Tamandua tetradactyla: one gene and its partner. The protein of the gene in region 1 purifies or fractionates together with the protein of each later gene. This does not show direct contact. Links are inferred from orthologs where the notes say so. Each region holds a gene or a part of one and is shown in the gene's direction. Other genes may lie near its edges.

What was found. Proteins that work in one complex are often made in the same cells at the same time.
Region 2: the proteins of EXOC3 (region 1) and EXOC7 purify together in Homo sapiens (affinity purification with mass spectrometry; 5 studies listed by BioGRID and IntAct, counting the BioPlex papers as one, with this or other methods). This does not show direct contact. The link is inferred for Tamandua tetradactyla from reciprocal best matches to the Homo sapiens genes EXOC3 and EXOC7.

The regions. Positions count from the first base shown.
Region 1 is NC_135335.1:48,919,164-48,926,747, reverse strand, and holds the start of EXOC3 (exocyst complex component 3), read left to right. Parts: upstream 1-4,575; 5' UTR 4,576-4,624; intron 4,625-6,309; 5' UTR 6,310-6,356; coding exon 6,357-6,500; intron 6,501-7,584. UniProt on the Homo sapiens protein: Component of the exocyst complex involved in the docking of exocytic vesicles with fusion sites on the plasma membrane.
Region 2 is NC_135332.1:16,546,678-16,554,442, reverse strand, and holds the start of EXOC7 (exocyst complex component 7), read left to right. Parts: upstream 1-4,759; 5' UTR 4,760-4,911; coding exon 4,912-4,971; intron 4,972-5,195; coding exon 5,196-5,261; intron 5,262-6,321; coding exon 6,322-6,506; intron 6,507-6,688; coding exon 6,689-6,794; intron 6,795-7,765. Other genes in the region: uncharacterized protein LOC143686572, read left to right, coding at 577-883, 1,155-1,254. UniProt on the Homo sapiens protein: Component of the exocyst complex involved in the docking of exocytic vesicles with fusion sites on the plasma membrane.

The DNA.
Region 1 (7,584 bases):
ATCTATTATGTACCCAAGAAAAGCCATATTCTAATCTTGATTCCATCTGTGGAGGCAGCCATTTCTTTTAATCCTGATTTAATAATGTAGGCTGGACCATCGTGATTAAATTATCTCCATGGAGATGTGACACACCCAATTGTGAGTATTAACTTTTGATTAGATGGAGATGTGACCCCATCCATTCCAGGTGGGTCTTCATTAGGTTACTGGAATCCTTTAAAAGAGGAAACATTTAGAAGAAACCTCAGAAATGACAGAAGCCTCAGAACTGACAGAAACTTCACAGCAGAGCTGACACAGATGCGGACACGGGAAGAACAGTAGCTTCAGAAAATAGAGACACTGATGTTTGGAGCCCAGCAGATACCACCATAAGAAATTAAGAAAGCCCAAGCCTGGAGAGAGCCAAGGGAAGTCAAGAGATGAAGGCCAGCCCTGGAGAAGCAAAGTGAGGAGCCTCCACAGGAAGAGGCTGAAGGCAACTGAGCCCAGGAGCAAGGGACCAGAAGGTGCCAGCCACGTACTACCTGGCTGACAGAGGGGCTCCGGACCCATCAGCCTTTCCTAAGTGAAGATGACCTCTTGTTGGTGCCTTAACTTGGACACTTTCACTTTCTTAGAACTGTAACCTTCTAACTTACTAAATTCCTCTTCTTAAAAATCCATTCCAGCTCTGGCATATCGCATTCTGGCAGCGTGCAAACTAACGCAGTACAGATCCTATTCCCTTAGTGGTTATCCTTGACATTCTTATTTAACAAAGTTTAAGTTGAAAATTAACCAAGGTCTCTATTCTCCTCCAGAACGTGACAACCACCTTAGCATGCTTTAAGGCCATCTACCTCACTCCCCTTTGACATTATCCCCTGCGTTGTTTTAAATCCTTGCACTCTCACTTTATTCTTGGTCACAGAGAAGGCAGTGGTTGTGGAGACCCTCCGTGCACCCTCCCATTTTCTGGCAAGCTCTTGGGTCTGGGACTGGCAAACGGCTGAAGGGAAGCGAGGGTGGCCCTCAGGGTTGGAGGTGCCACATGCCTGGGGCCAGGGAAGCCAGGGAAGCTGCTCCTGGGGTGGGCAAGGGGCTGTGTGCAGCAGCTGCCTCTGCCCGCCTGGGGGACACATGGCGTGATCAAGAGACACAGCTTTAGGATGGGATCCTAACGCTACTTTCTTTTTCCACTTAATTTACCACCCTCATCTTCGAGTTGACATTTGCTTAGATTAAGCCACATTTTACCAATTTATTTGTTCATTATTTCTTCCTATATCTCACTCCTTTCTCAGTTCCATTGCCTTCTTCCTGATCTATATCATTAAATGTTATTTTAGTAATCACAAAAAGCACAAACGTTCTGATCTTGCCAGTTTGGTAAACTCTCAGTCTGCCTGAGCATATCTTTATGTTACCCTACTTCTTGAGTGAATTTAGCTGGCATGCATGTGGAGGTCAACAGAGATGGCAGGGTGCTACCTTCTGGGCAATTTCCTAAGACACGTCTCCAAGTCAATTATTTCCTCTTCCGTCTCAGGGTCTAATCCTGCTTTTTAAGTTTATCCCATTCATAGTAGAATGGCAAGCTGCTCATTCACAGGTATCCCCTCGTGTGTTTCATAAGTTTGTATTGTGGTAGAGCTTTTTCAGGGAGGACAAAGCCGAGGGGTGGATCTTCAGAAATGGCTTTGCATCAGATCCCGTCAAGGTGCAGGGGTGGCTCTCTAGAAATGTTCCAGCGTTTGCTTCTGCTAATGGATGACTTTCAGCAATCATTTCCAGGCCGGGGAGCTGCAGGATTAATCTGAATCATTTAATTTAAGTAAAGAGCAGAATAAGAGCCATGACTTCTTAGGGGGAGGGGGCATGGGAAGGGCAGGCTTCTCCACTAGACAGAGTTACACAAACTTCCTGGTGTTCTCCCAAGGGGAAGCTGGTTTTGTTTTTCCCGGGTTACCTTTCATGGAGGGTGCACCCTTATGAGTATACTGGCTTCATATGTGCTCAATCTTAGCCTCATCTTCTGTTCTGCAGGAGTATAAAAAAACCAAGCCCCTAAACCATTCACCCTCCCCAGCAAACCTCCCTGCCTGGCAGCGGAGATCTCTGCTACTCACTTCCTCTTCCTCCTTTGTTTGTGCACCCTCCTCATCTCCTGTAGTCTCTGGTGAACTCAATGATGCATTTAAAAGGATGTTACATTTATCCAATGTATTTATCCATCTATGTTTTCAAGAAATCTTTTCAGTTATCTGTCTGCTAAAATCATAACTCAAGAAAGATTTTTAAGATTTTGTTTTTGAGTTTGGAGGGGAAAAATTAAAGCTTTTAAATAAAGCATCCTATTCCCTAAGCAGTGTGATTAATTGGTGAAGCTATTAGGGAGTGCTACATTCAAACACACTGCCAGATATTGACAGATGAGTCTTTATTTCAAGTGCTGACTTTTGTTGTTGTGCTTTGTTTGTTTGTTTTTGAAGTAACAGTTCTGAAAGCTTTGGTAATTTTGGCATTTTTCCTATTGGTTTTATAATTTCATAATTTCAACTTTCTCTTTGCACATCTTCATTGCTGAACCTACTGCTGTATTGTGTAAATTAAGAAGCAGGTTCTGTCCTCTTGCACAGAGCGTGCTGATGTGGAGTGGTGAGCTAAGGGTGTGGGGCTGTAGTCCTGCACATAGTCAGCTGTGGCCTTCACAGTGGTCACGTGACAGGCAGGTTGTTCCTGGCCACCTTATTTGGGGCCCCTCAGGGGAGGCTGCTGCACCCCATTTCCCTGCCCACACACCTAGAGCTGTTCCCCTCCTCGCTACCCCCATCTTCCTTCCTGTCTGGCTCTCACCCCGCTCCGGATTTCCACTCTCATGGCTGACTTTCAGGTGGCAGTTGGGAAAATATTGAAAAATTTCCTTTTCCGGCAGTTTGTTAAGGTAAGCAATGCCTGCTGCCACAACAGACGAACCCTGAACTCTTAGTGGCTTAGTCCAACAGGATTCCTACTCACTCAGGTGAAGTGCAGGTCAGGTCGGGTAACTCCTCCATTGAGTAAAACTCAGGGGTCTGCCACTGCGGGTTGCCATCATTTCAAATACCGCTTCCAGGGTTGCAAACAGGCCTGACCCTCCACGGCCTTGCCCTTTGAAATGCCTTTTCTCACACTCCACTCGGCAGTTCCTGAGACCTGCCCCAGCCATTTATCCCAGGTGATTTGCTCCTGGCCACTGCCTTGATGAAGCCTTCCTGTGCCCTGACCCTACATCCAGGTCCAGTGCCCTCCACATACATCCCACGCACTAGTCCCAGCACAAGCAAATCCCCCATAGAATGCCAGTGTTTCTCATATTGTGTGCCTGCCCTGGGCTTGGCATCAGATCTAAGCCTTTCAGCCTCTGCAGAAGACGCCAGCAATGGATTCCCAGCAAGCACTTCAAGAATGTGGCTTGCATGACTAGGCAGACGAACTGAGTCCTCGGTTCATGCCACCTCCTGTTCAGTTCATGCTCTGCCCTGCAGCTAGTTACCTTTCTCAAACCTATGATGCTCCCCTGCAGACATGCAAAAGTCTTACATGACACAGAGCTCTGCAGTGGGGTGCAAATGTTCCTTTCCAGATCACGTTCTGCCACATTTCACATGCTCTACATGACCCATTCAGCAGTTTCCCAAAGCTAGGGTGCCCTTCTCCTGCTCCCCCTTGACTCCTCTCCTGAACACCCCTTCTCTTATCCCAAGATTCACGCAGCTTGGTTTCCATGGCCAGCCAGAACCACAGACCTCAGATGCTACTTACCCCCCTTGCTCTCCGCATTCTGTGACAACCAATCCCACGGCGGTTGTTCTCACATCAATTTCTGACCTCTCTGTGGTCCTTGAGGGGCTGAGTTTGACGCATTTTTGATTGAAGGGTCTACAAAAGGCAGCTCACCGAGTAACTGAGTTTTCTGTGTGCATCAATCATGACAGTCAGGTGTAACTGACAGGTCACTGGGTGTTCCACAGTTCCATTCCTTCATTTACAGACGGCTGCCTGGTCTGGGTAGTTCCTGGGGTTTATTTAGCACACAAGACAGGACCCCCAGCACATTCCGTGGGGAAGACAGACTGTAAACAAATGAACACGGTACAGTGTTAGTAGTGAAACTGGTAAAGAAAACATAAAACAGGGGAAGAGAGGTACAGCGACTCTTTCACATAGGCAGGTCAAGGGTTATAGAGAGGAAATGCGGCGGAGCCCGAGTTTGGTGAGGGTGAGCCCTGAGAAGGGGGTGGGGGCGGGGAGGTTTCCGGCGGAGGGGAAAGCGGCTGCAAAGCCCAAGAGCCAAGAGGTCAGCCTGGCAGACAAGCGGAGAGGCAGAGGCAGGGCCTGGGTCAGAGGGTCAGAGGAGTTGCTCAGGCAGGGTCAGCTCTATCAGATCTTCGCCGCCTTGGGCCGGGGACCCCGTCCTGACGTCTCCCCGGTCTGTGGGGCAAGGACCCCCATGCAGGCAGTCACGTGGCCCGCGGGGCGAGGACATGCCCAGTTCTGTTCTCACAGCCCCGGAGCCGCCCTTCCGGCCGCGCCGCCGGTAGCGGAAGTAGCGGCCGCCTACTTCCGGCGGGGCGCGGGCGGCGGCGGCTGCGCGGCGGTGAGGAGCGGCGGGCCGGGGTCGCTGGTGGGGGTCTGCAGCGGGGCCGGGAGTCGCTCGGCTCGGGCGGGGCGGGCGGCGGCTGCGGGGAGCCGCGGGTTGGACGGCCGGGAGTTGGGTCAGACCCTGTCAGTGTTGAGGGCGGTGGCTCCGCGCGCTACCCGTGGCCGAAATCGTGCTGTCTTCAGGCTGCGATTGGAGCCGTTTCCGAGCGAGCGTGGTCTCGGTCTGCTTTGCAGTTCAGGGCTGGACGTCCTGGATTCTGCTGCCAGGGCCAGCCCAGTCCTGGTAGCGTCTTCCTCCCCCACGGCCCCGCCTGTCCCCCAGAGGAGATAGCGCGCGAGCTCGGCGGGCCGGCCCGCCTCGAGATGGGGCCAGGTAGGCCATGTGCACCTGCCTGGGGCGGCTGGGTGCCCTTTCTCCGATTATCCACCCTTGTGATGGAAATCCTACAGGTTTTAGTGTCAGCGGAAATGCTGATGATAACATGTCACAACACAACAAGAACAAAAAAGCATGGCAAAATTGTATTCGCAATATAATCTCAACTTGTAAAGAAATGCAAAGGGAAAAAAAAGACTGGAAATAAACCCTATTAAAAGTGGTGGCCTCGAGATGGTAGGATTTAAGGATGATTGCTGCTTTGTACTTTTTTGTCCTGTCCAGACTTTTTACATTGGTATGAGTGATTTTATTATCAGGGGAAGTAAAGAAAAAGGAAAGATGGTGGTTGCAGTATAGTTGTAATTGAAAGGGAAAAGTGACAAGAGTGATATGTACGAACAGGGTGGAATTATATAACACGTGATGAACAACCATCCTACATTTCAGAGTTTTTGTGAAAGCAAATGGGAATGAATAGTGAAAAATTCACGGAGAAGGTGAATCTTTTTCATATCTTTAAAAAAATTGATAACAGTCAAAGTCAATTGGATCTAATACTTATTGACTGCTTTTTGGCCAGATCCTTACCAGGTAGCTATCATCCTTACCAGGTAGCTATCCCTTTGCAACCCAGTGACTGTGACATAGTGGAACTAGGATTTGAAGGCAGGTTGCTTGGAATCTGAGCATGTGTGCACTCTGTACACTATACCTTGTTGCCTCGTGAGCAGAGGAGGACATTGTCCTCTGCCCTCTCACCCTTGTTCTCTAGGTCTATGTTTGTATGTAGGTGATAGAACTTGGGTAACCCCAGCTCACAGTAGGTTTTGAGGGGAATCACAGCACTTACATTGGAACTCAGCTGGGGTGGTGGAAGTATGTGCTGGCACCTGTGTGCACCTGTTGTCACTAAGGTGTCCTGGCAGAGCTGCCATGCCAGTGTGGCTAAGGGTAGCATAAAGGCTTAAGAAATGCAAATTGGCCCTATTTAGGGGAAGAGAAGTGCTTAGAAACTGGCATTCTGACATGATAAGTGGTTTAGGCTCCACATGTAAATGTCTGCGTATGTTTACATCTCTCATGCCTGTGAAATGTTGCTGCTTCTCCCATAAGGTTTGTTTTCTTGTTAAGGAGTTCATCATCCTAGTTGAGCTTTCTTTCTAATGTATTGGATGAATGATCTCAAACACTCTCCTCATAGCCACATTATGACCAACTGACTGGAATGGGGAGTGGAGATACATTTTGTACCTAACATCTTTACTTTCCTAACATATCTTTCTCTCCTGCCACACACAAAGGACACCTCTAGTATGACAGGGGTGGAAATTTTGCCTGCTCTTTGACCATGGAGGAGACAGACCGGGAACCCATTGCAACTGCAGTCCAAAGGGTGGCTCAGGTGCTTCAGCGCCCTGACCAGCTGGACAAAGTGGAGCAGTACCGCCGCAGAGAAGCTCGGAAAAAGGCCTCTGTGGAGGCCAGATTAAAGGTATGGAGCCAGAGATAGCATCTTTCTAGGCAGGGCAGAATCATTCTTGAATTTTAGGTTCCTTTGTTAAATTATTGCTTTTTTTTTTTTTTTCATGGGCACTGGGAATCTAACCCAGGTGTCAGCCATGGCAGGCGAGATCTCTGCCACTGAGCCACTGTGGCCCACCCTAAATAATTCATTTTTATTTGTTGAACTTCACTGTTACACCTATTAAATTAGACCTTCTGATGCTATGGAAGGAAAGACACAAGGCTGAACTTTACCTGTAGTTAGCAAATTGTTTCTAACAATGTATTACCAATTAGTATACAAAGAAGTCAGGGAGAATATTGAGAATATCAAAGGAGCAACATATTAAAGCATGCTCAGACATTCCAGGAGTGTCTGTTTATCTTTTGAGCAATACTGGAATAGCGACGACTCTTCTGACTTATTAGATGCTATCCTCTAGAGTTCCCATAGTGCTCATTTTGTTTAGACCATTTCAGCAAATGCTCTGAAGAGCTGCCCCTCTGCCAGGCATTCCACCGGGTGCTGGAGGCAGGAAGAAGGAGGAGAACCCAGCACTGTCAAAAAAGATGTGAAAGGGTGGATCAGGGAGAAAAGCCTCTCGGAGATATTTTATGATTTGGATTGACTGGCTCTCAACTTAATTAATATGACTAGTTGAGGTTTTATTAAAATATGCAAATTCAGTACAGCTATTTGATGTGAGAACCACGGCCTGCTGTAGTAGACAGGAAGATGTTGACTGGTCTTGGGGGTTTAGGGAAATCCCTTGGTGGAAAAGTTAATTCTCGCACTAGTAGGACATTGAGGTCATTCCTAAACTTGAAAAGGTGTGTTAGCACCCAGGTAATAAATAGCAGGTTCAGTGAGACCAGGTAAAGGTCACTTAATTGTGTCAAAAGAGCATCTGAAGATCCTGTTGGACTAGTTTGAGACAGCAGTTTCAGGTTAAAGAATAGCTTGAACCTACTACGTTTTATGCCTGAATGTTTATCTGTTCTAGAAACGTGTGGCATTAATTGATCATTAGTAATAGAGACTTAGGCATTTTGGTCTCTTATAATAATTTTAA
Region 2 (7,765 bases), on another chromosome or scaffold:
GGTTAACCGCTCTTGAGTACCTACTGTGGGCCAGGCCGTTTATATATGTCATGCCACTTAATTCACCCAAATCCTCTGAGATTTCGGTGCATGTGGTGTGTTACTCAGAGGGGCCCTCCCTGGCAGCTCGTAGGTGGCAGGGGCGGGAGCAGAAGGGCCCGTCTGACCTGGGCTTTTTCTCCTCCAAGGTGTGCCACCCATAGCGCCCCACAGGATTTCAACAGAATCCAGTTGCCACGTGTTACTGATTTCCATGGGGGCACGTGTGCAGAGTTCCTCCCTCAAAACCAGGATCCCGCCTGCCGCCCTGCCTCTCATGTTAGATGAGGAAAGGGGGTGGCAGGGCAGGGTTGCTGGTCCCTGTCCACACAGGAGCAGGAAGGGATACAGATTCTTGTCTGCTGTGGCTTGTGGCTCGGGTGTTTCTGCAGATCACGAGTGTGTCGCTGTGAGTCTCACCTCAGAGACGGCGCGTGCGCCCGTTACATGACTGGGTTCCCCGCCCGCTGTGGCTGCCATTGCTAAGCAATGGTGGTTAGGCTCCTAAACTAGCTGCAGATGGCTTTTTAATTCCAGCCACGGCTCAGCTTGACCCCACAGCCGGGGCCCTTGACAGGAGCCAAGAGGGGATCAAGAACCAGCCAGACACAGGGGCCGCCACTGCGAGTGTGCAAGACGTGATCCGAGAAGACCCCTGTGAGCAGCACACCAAGGACAAGCCGGCCCTCAAGTTCAACCAGAAAAGGGCCCAGGGCCCAGGAAGACATCTGCATCAAGAGGAAGCAGGAGGGGCCGAGCAACGTCCTGGCTGCCTCAAAGAAGCGGCTGCCCAGGAGTTCAGAGCCCCCTCCCTGAGCACAGAGCAGCTTTCACAGACAAAAAGGTACACCCCGACCTCCTTCCTCCCACCTGCCCTCTCTGGGACATGCACCCCAGGGGTCCCCCCACCATGCCCCCAGATTGTCCCTCACCCTGCTGGCCTCAGCTCTTGTTCACTTTTTCATTATAAATCTATCCGGCACCTGCCCTGCTGTGTGTATAGACCAAGGCTGGGTGTTGGCAACAGCCCCTAAGAAGGTGGCCGAGGACTTCCTTATGCCTAACAGGATACCATCAGCCCCTCTGGGCTGCCTTTCCTTGTGCTCTTGTCTTAGAACCCAAGGACAGTTACTCAGCTGCCAAAGAGGCAGCCGCACGCCTGCCCTTTCATCTGCCCTCCACCAGCTGCAGCTCTGCTCCAGCCCTTGCCTGTGAGGCTCTTCCTGGCAGATGGGCACCTCTCCCTGCCTGCCACTTCATGGCTCCAGCACTGCCCCCTCCAGGCTTTCACTTGGCCTCCAGTCCTCTAGCGGGCAGGCTTCCCTGAGTGAGGCCTGAATTTCAGTCGATTTCAAGTCAGTTTGCTCAGGCCACAGTTTGCAGTTGTGAGAGTGATTTTAACATTCATCTGGAGAAACGTAAACAAATGAGAAGGTCCAGGAAGTTTTTTTTTTTCCTAGAGTAAAAAAAAAAAAAAAAAATGAATAAAGAAAGAAGAAGATCATCTCCCCCGCAAAGGTTAAATGTAGAATCAAATTATAAAGCTACATTACTTTAACTGGTTTGGCCCTGGGACTGAAATGAATGAGTACAAGCAGCTCAGTGGAACAGAATATAACCAAGAATAGGGCTAAATATCTGAGGGACTTAACTGTGTGATAGAGGTCACGTTTCAAACCAGTGGTTGAATAACGAATTAGTGAATAAATTGTATTAGGACAATTGGCTATCCGTCTGAGAAAAAACCCTGATGGCTCAATGATGTAAACATTAAAAAAAAAAAAAAAGAATCTAGAAAAAACAAGACCTTAAAAAAATATAAGATGAAAAGCTTAGACTGGGATAAGCCTTTCAAGCAAGACACAAAACCAAATAGTTATGAAAGGAAATGTCTGATAAACATGAATAAGTTAAGAAATCAAAACTCTAGTAGAGCAAAACGGCAATGAAAAAAATGTAAGACACATAAGAAGAAAATAAAGAAAATGTTTCCACATAAATGATAAAGGCTAATTTTTTATTTTTAACTTTTTTACTGTATAGTACAACATATATACCAAGCAAAGAAATAAAAAAGCAACAGTTTTTAGATGAGCAACGGTGGCTCAGTGGCAGAGTTCTCACCTGCCATGCCAGAGACCTGGGTTCGATTCCCGGTGCCTGCCCATGTTTAAAAAAAAAGCCATAATTTTTAAAGCACTCTTCAACAAGTAGTTACAGGAGAGATGACAGAATTTGTCACAGGCTACCAAACAATCCACTCCTATTTTTCCCTTTAGCTTCTCCATAATATAGGAGGCTAGAGGGCTTAAATATTTTTTTATCATCACAATTGACTCCCTTTCCTTCTTTTTTTTTGTGAAAAATAACACACATACAAAAAAGCTATAAATTTCAAAGCACAGAACATACTTCAGAGTCTGACATGGGTTACAATTCCACAATCCCAGGCTTTTACCTCTAACTGTTCCAAAATACCACAGACCAAAAGAGATATCAACCTAACGATGCAGGATTCATATTCATCTGTTAAATCCTATCTTCTCCGCATAACCCCACCGTCACACCTGATCCTTCCCTCCCTCTCTCCAGGGGTAAGGCTAATTTTTTAATATATACAGAGTTCTGAAAAATCACTAAGAAAATATGACATCGTAATATAAAATGGGCAAAGGACATTAAACAGGCAGTTTATAGACAAATAAATACAGTCAATAACAAAGATGCTCAACCATATTTTTAATTGAAGAAGCAGAAATATGGGATACTGTTTTTCACTTATCAGATTGGCAAAAGTGTGCAGAAATGGGCATATTTATTATACATTCCTGTTGGGGTATTAACTATTTTTCAACTATTTTGAATGGCAATTTGTAGATATCGATAGATTTTTGAAGTATATACATTTGGATTTAGCAATTCCACTTCTCAGAATGTCTCCGATATATAGGTTTATGTCTAAGGGTGGTCATGTTCAGGTCACATACAGGGGGCTCTCAGTAAATGGTAGTCGGCAACCAGATTACACTTAAACATTGAAGGAAATTCGAGAAAATACAGAAGAGCACACACATATGTAGTTTATTTACTAAAGTGCAATGACAGTATACAAACTTTGTTCACAATCATACAGGATACCCTTCCGAAGACCTAGAGGACAAGATTTTATTTATATCTTTTCTGGAGCATCCTCTAGGCTGTTCAGAGGCTCAGAGAGGCTAAGTGCTGGCAGAGACCCTCAGGGTTGGGCCATCGGATGCCAAAGCTCTTTTCCCTGTAGCACTGTAGCCCTCTGCCCCTCGCGTCTGCTACTGTATTTAAACCTAACAGTTTAAACTTTTCCCCTACTTGGTTCTCAGGACTACACCAGCCTAAGTCAGAGCAGTCATCCCAAGTACCCTTACATAATGACTCAGCCTTCTCATCTCCCCCACCTGCAACAGGGCTTTGCCCTCTGGCTATTTCCTTCATCGCCACCTACAAACTTCGCAAAGTCTGAAATTTGTCCTTCCACCCCAGTGGAAGAGTTGCCCAGTCCCTCCCTAGGTTCATTCCTTCCTCCACTGTAATTAATTGGGTTCTGGGGGTGACTTAGAACCTTTATGGCTTTGGCGCCCCAAACCCTGTCACCCACTGGCACATGCCTGTTTCTTGTGCCTGGATGCCTGATCCACAGAGGATCCATTTATTTCTCGAAGGGCTGAGGCCAGAGTTAGATGGGCAGGGAAGTGACAGAGGAAGGACGGGCACTAAGTGAGCAGAAGAGCTGGGTCCTGCCGAAAATCCTTGGGAACCCAGAACACCCAGGAGACTCCCTCCAAGGGCATCTCTTGACCCTCGCCCCTGGAGCTGAGGTTAGACCAACTGGGACCACCTGGAGAACAGTCATGCCAGCCCCTAAGCCCATCTGATTTCCCCAAAGCCCCTTGAGACATGCTCACTGCCTATCCCAACACCTGCAGGCAAGGCTCAGTCTCTTTCTAGCTGGCCATGATGTGCTGAGGCCTGAATCCCTGACAGCTTCCGGTCCTGCCCCCCTTCCTCCTGTGGCCTCTCCTGGCCGAGGTAAGTTCTCAGCAGAAGCCACTCAGCCCCCCCAAAATAAAACCTCACAGCTCTCTCTCCCCACACGTGGGGCCTGGAGGACAGGCACCGGGGCCCCAAGAGAGATGCTCTGAGAATCCTGCCAGCCCCGTGTACTCGGCTGACCCCGGCACAAGGCCAGCTATGGTTGGGCACCCTCCTAGGACCAAGGGCAAGTGTCCTGTCCGGCCCCGGGCCTGGGTCCTGCACACAGGGCCTGCTCCATATGCTTTATCCTTAACGGAGGGCCGCACACACCAGCCCCGGTTTCGCTAAACGGGCACATATTGGGCGCCTGTCTTGTGGTGCACTCCGTATGCACTCAGTGCTGGAGCATGGACCCAGCGGCCATTTGTCAAATGGCACAGTGGCGGAGTTCTCGCCTGCCATGCTGGAGACCTGGGTTCGATTCCTGGTGCCTGCCCATGCAAAAAAAAAAAAAAAAAAAAAGTCAGTCTTCCAACCGGTAAACAAGCCGAGACCGCCCTGCAGCCACGGGCAGAATGACATCGGTCGAGTACCTTCTCCGCAGGGGGAGGGAACCCACACCAGGGGGAAAGGGCTGCGCTGGAGGAACGCCACCCTTCCCAGACACACCCAAGATGGCCGCTCGCCTTGGCCCGTTACTGAGCCTCGCGCAGGCGCATTGCCACCAGCCTCTCCCAACATGGCAGCACCGGCGCGGTGCCGGGGCGGGACTAAAGACGGAAGTGGGTGTGGCAGGGACGCGACCCCCGTGGGACTGTTGGGAAAGATACTGAGGAGCCGGGAGCCGCAGGGTTGGGAGCGATGATCCCCCCGCAGGAGGCGTCCGCTCGGCGGCGGGAGATCGAGGACAAACTGAAGCAGGTGGGCGATGGTGGGGAATCGGGGGAGGAGGTGGAGGGAAAGGGGCCGAGATCCGGGCCGGGCCCCTACGCCGGGAGGAGGCGCGGGTGGGAGGGGGTGTGAGGAGATGGGTTTCAGATGAGGGGCGAGGCTGGGGGTCCGAGGACGCAGTAATCTCCCTTAGCACGCAGGAATCTCCCTTAGCCTCCGGCCTCTGGTGATGTCCTTCCCTCCGCTCCCCGTAGGAGGAGGAGACGCTGTCCTTCATCAGAGACAGCCTGGAGAAGAGCGACCAGCTCACCAAGAACATGGTGAGAAAGTGTTCAGCCGGGAGGGGCGGAGGGGAGCCTTGCTACGGGAGGTGCCGGGTACCGAGGGCCTGGTTTGGAGTGGATAGTGATGGGTTTCTCTAGCAACGATATGGTGTCTCTTACCTCCCGCCCCTCCTCCAATTTCCGCCCCATCTCTGAGGACCCGGCAGCCCCCGCTGACTTGAACTTTCTGCTTTCTGTCTAGGCTCTCCATTCTTCCTTTTCTCTTGCCACATTTAGTGAGACTGAGTAGTCCTGGTCCTGGGTCATTCTTAACTCAAGACTGTCCCGGTAGGGGTGGCATTTTGAGATTACTTTGAGATTTGAAATTACTGAGAGCATAGAAGACTCAGCCTTCACCCCCAGAGGACTTTAGGGGTAGAAGGAGCGCTTACTCCACACAGTTGTGTGATTCCAGGCAGTTGACTCTGAGCTGTAGTTGACTTGTGTACTAAAACAGTGACAATGTCAACCTCTCAACGTGACTGCGAAGGTCATATGAATGGATGCATCTTGCACAGTGCCTGGTATACAATTGTGCTCAATAAATATTCGCTTCCTTGTTTACTCCTAGCTGAGATCGTTCGGGTAGAAGTTGAATAGAAACAAACGGATTTGCATTCGGTAACACAGTGATGAAGTCCTATTTCTTGCATAATGAGATTCCCCCTTTAGAGACAGGATTTTGAAGGTGCCAGCAAATGCTTTGAGGCTATTCTGTATGAAACAACTTCCTGTTCAGTCTAGGAAAACTTCAAAGAGACCAGAAGTTGAGATTTGGCTTCAAAGGGTAGAAGAGAAGTCATCCTGGAATGATTATCTTAGGAATTAACTTGATACTTAGCTTACCTTCAAACTGACCAATTTGCGGGGGACCACCTCTTAATTGCCAGGCCTATGCTAGATGTTGGGGAGGCAGGAGTGAACAGGTAGGCCCTGTCCCTCCTTCTTGGAGCTTATTGTCTAGAAAACAAGAGAAAAGGCAGGAATTGCCAAAGACCTGCTGATGAGAAGGAAGCAGAACTGGGACCACCCTAGAGCAGAGACTTTCTCCCAACAGGTGTCTATCCTGTCATCCTTTGAGAGCCGCCTTATGAAGCTGGAGAACTCCATCATCCCTGTGCACAAGCAGACAGAGAATCTGCAGCGGCTGCAGGAGAATGTGGAGAAGACCCTGTCCTGCCTAGATCATGTCATCAGCTACTACCATGTGGCCAGTGACACCGAGAAGATCATCAGGGAGGGGTGAGCCAGGGCCGGAGGGCCACATCCCTAATGCCTCCTGGACCACCAGCTCTGGGCCTCAGAAGGGAGGGGTAGGATGTATTTAGGTCTAGTGTTAATTCTCTTCTTCTTCTTCCAAACACCATGGCCTAATCCTTCCCCTCCACTGCTCCCCAGCATGATCAGGCTCCTTTTCTTCCCAGCCCCACAGGTAGGCTGGAGGAGTACCTGGGAAGCATGGCCAAGATCCAGAAGGCTGTGGAGTATTTCCAGGACAACAGCCCGGACAGCCCAGAGCTCAACAAAGTGGTAAGGGGCCAGCAGAGTAAAGGGAGAGGGCTGGGAAACATCCCTCCCTGGTCTCATAAGGAAATACCTGGCCAGCTTAAAAGAGTATACAGTATAATAAACAAAAACATCTAGTAGAATTCAGATTCTCCAGACACTAAGATCTCTGTCTCGGAAATTATAGGCTTACATTTTTATTCTGTTTTTGTAATTTGTTTAAAGTATATATGATATAAATTTTACATTTAGTTTTTATAAATGCATTTGCGGTTTTGTGTTTATATTTTGTGTGATGTCTTTGCGTCTAAGTATTGGGGTCATTAGGACACCAGAGCAGGGTGGGAGAAGGGTTAGAAGTGAGATTTACTCTGTGTTGAGAGAATGAGAGGCTGGAGACCAGAGGAAAGGTGGGAGAGGAGGCCCCGAGACCCAAGAAGGTGAGTGGGGCCAAGAGAGTAAGAGTATTAGGGGAGGGGCCATCTGGAACACAGTCTCCTGGTGTACCTTTCTGGTGACACTACAGGTCTCACTCTGAGGTGTGTGGCTTGCCCAAAAGAAGGCATGAGCTGAAGAACAGAGATGAGAAACTGTCTTTTCTCCTGACCAAAAACTTTTGCTGAGAGCAGTGCTTCCTGGCTTTTCCCCCATCATGGCATACATCAGAAATGAGAATATTTGTGTGGCACCTGGGGACAAACTGGAAACCAGACGGTGGTCCCCGGCCACCCAAGGGCCCACCTGGCTGCCTTGAAGGCTGATGGGATTGATACCTTGGCGCTCCTATAACCCAGTGGGGACCCACCAGCTCTACCTGGTATAAACAGCTGGTGGGAGGGAGCCTGTGTCTCAGAGACTGGGATGGCAGGGACTGCAGAGCATTTTCTTCTCAAGGGTCACTCCCAAGTTTCATTCGTAGTGTGCAGAGCTCTGTACTAGAACTTGGGTGCAGGGATGGGATGGAGAAGGAGAATACATAAGATTATTAAACCGTA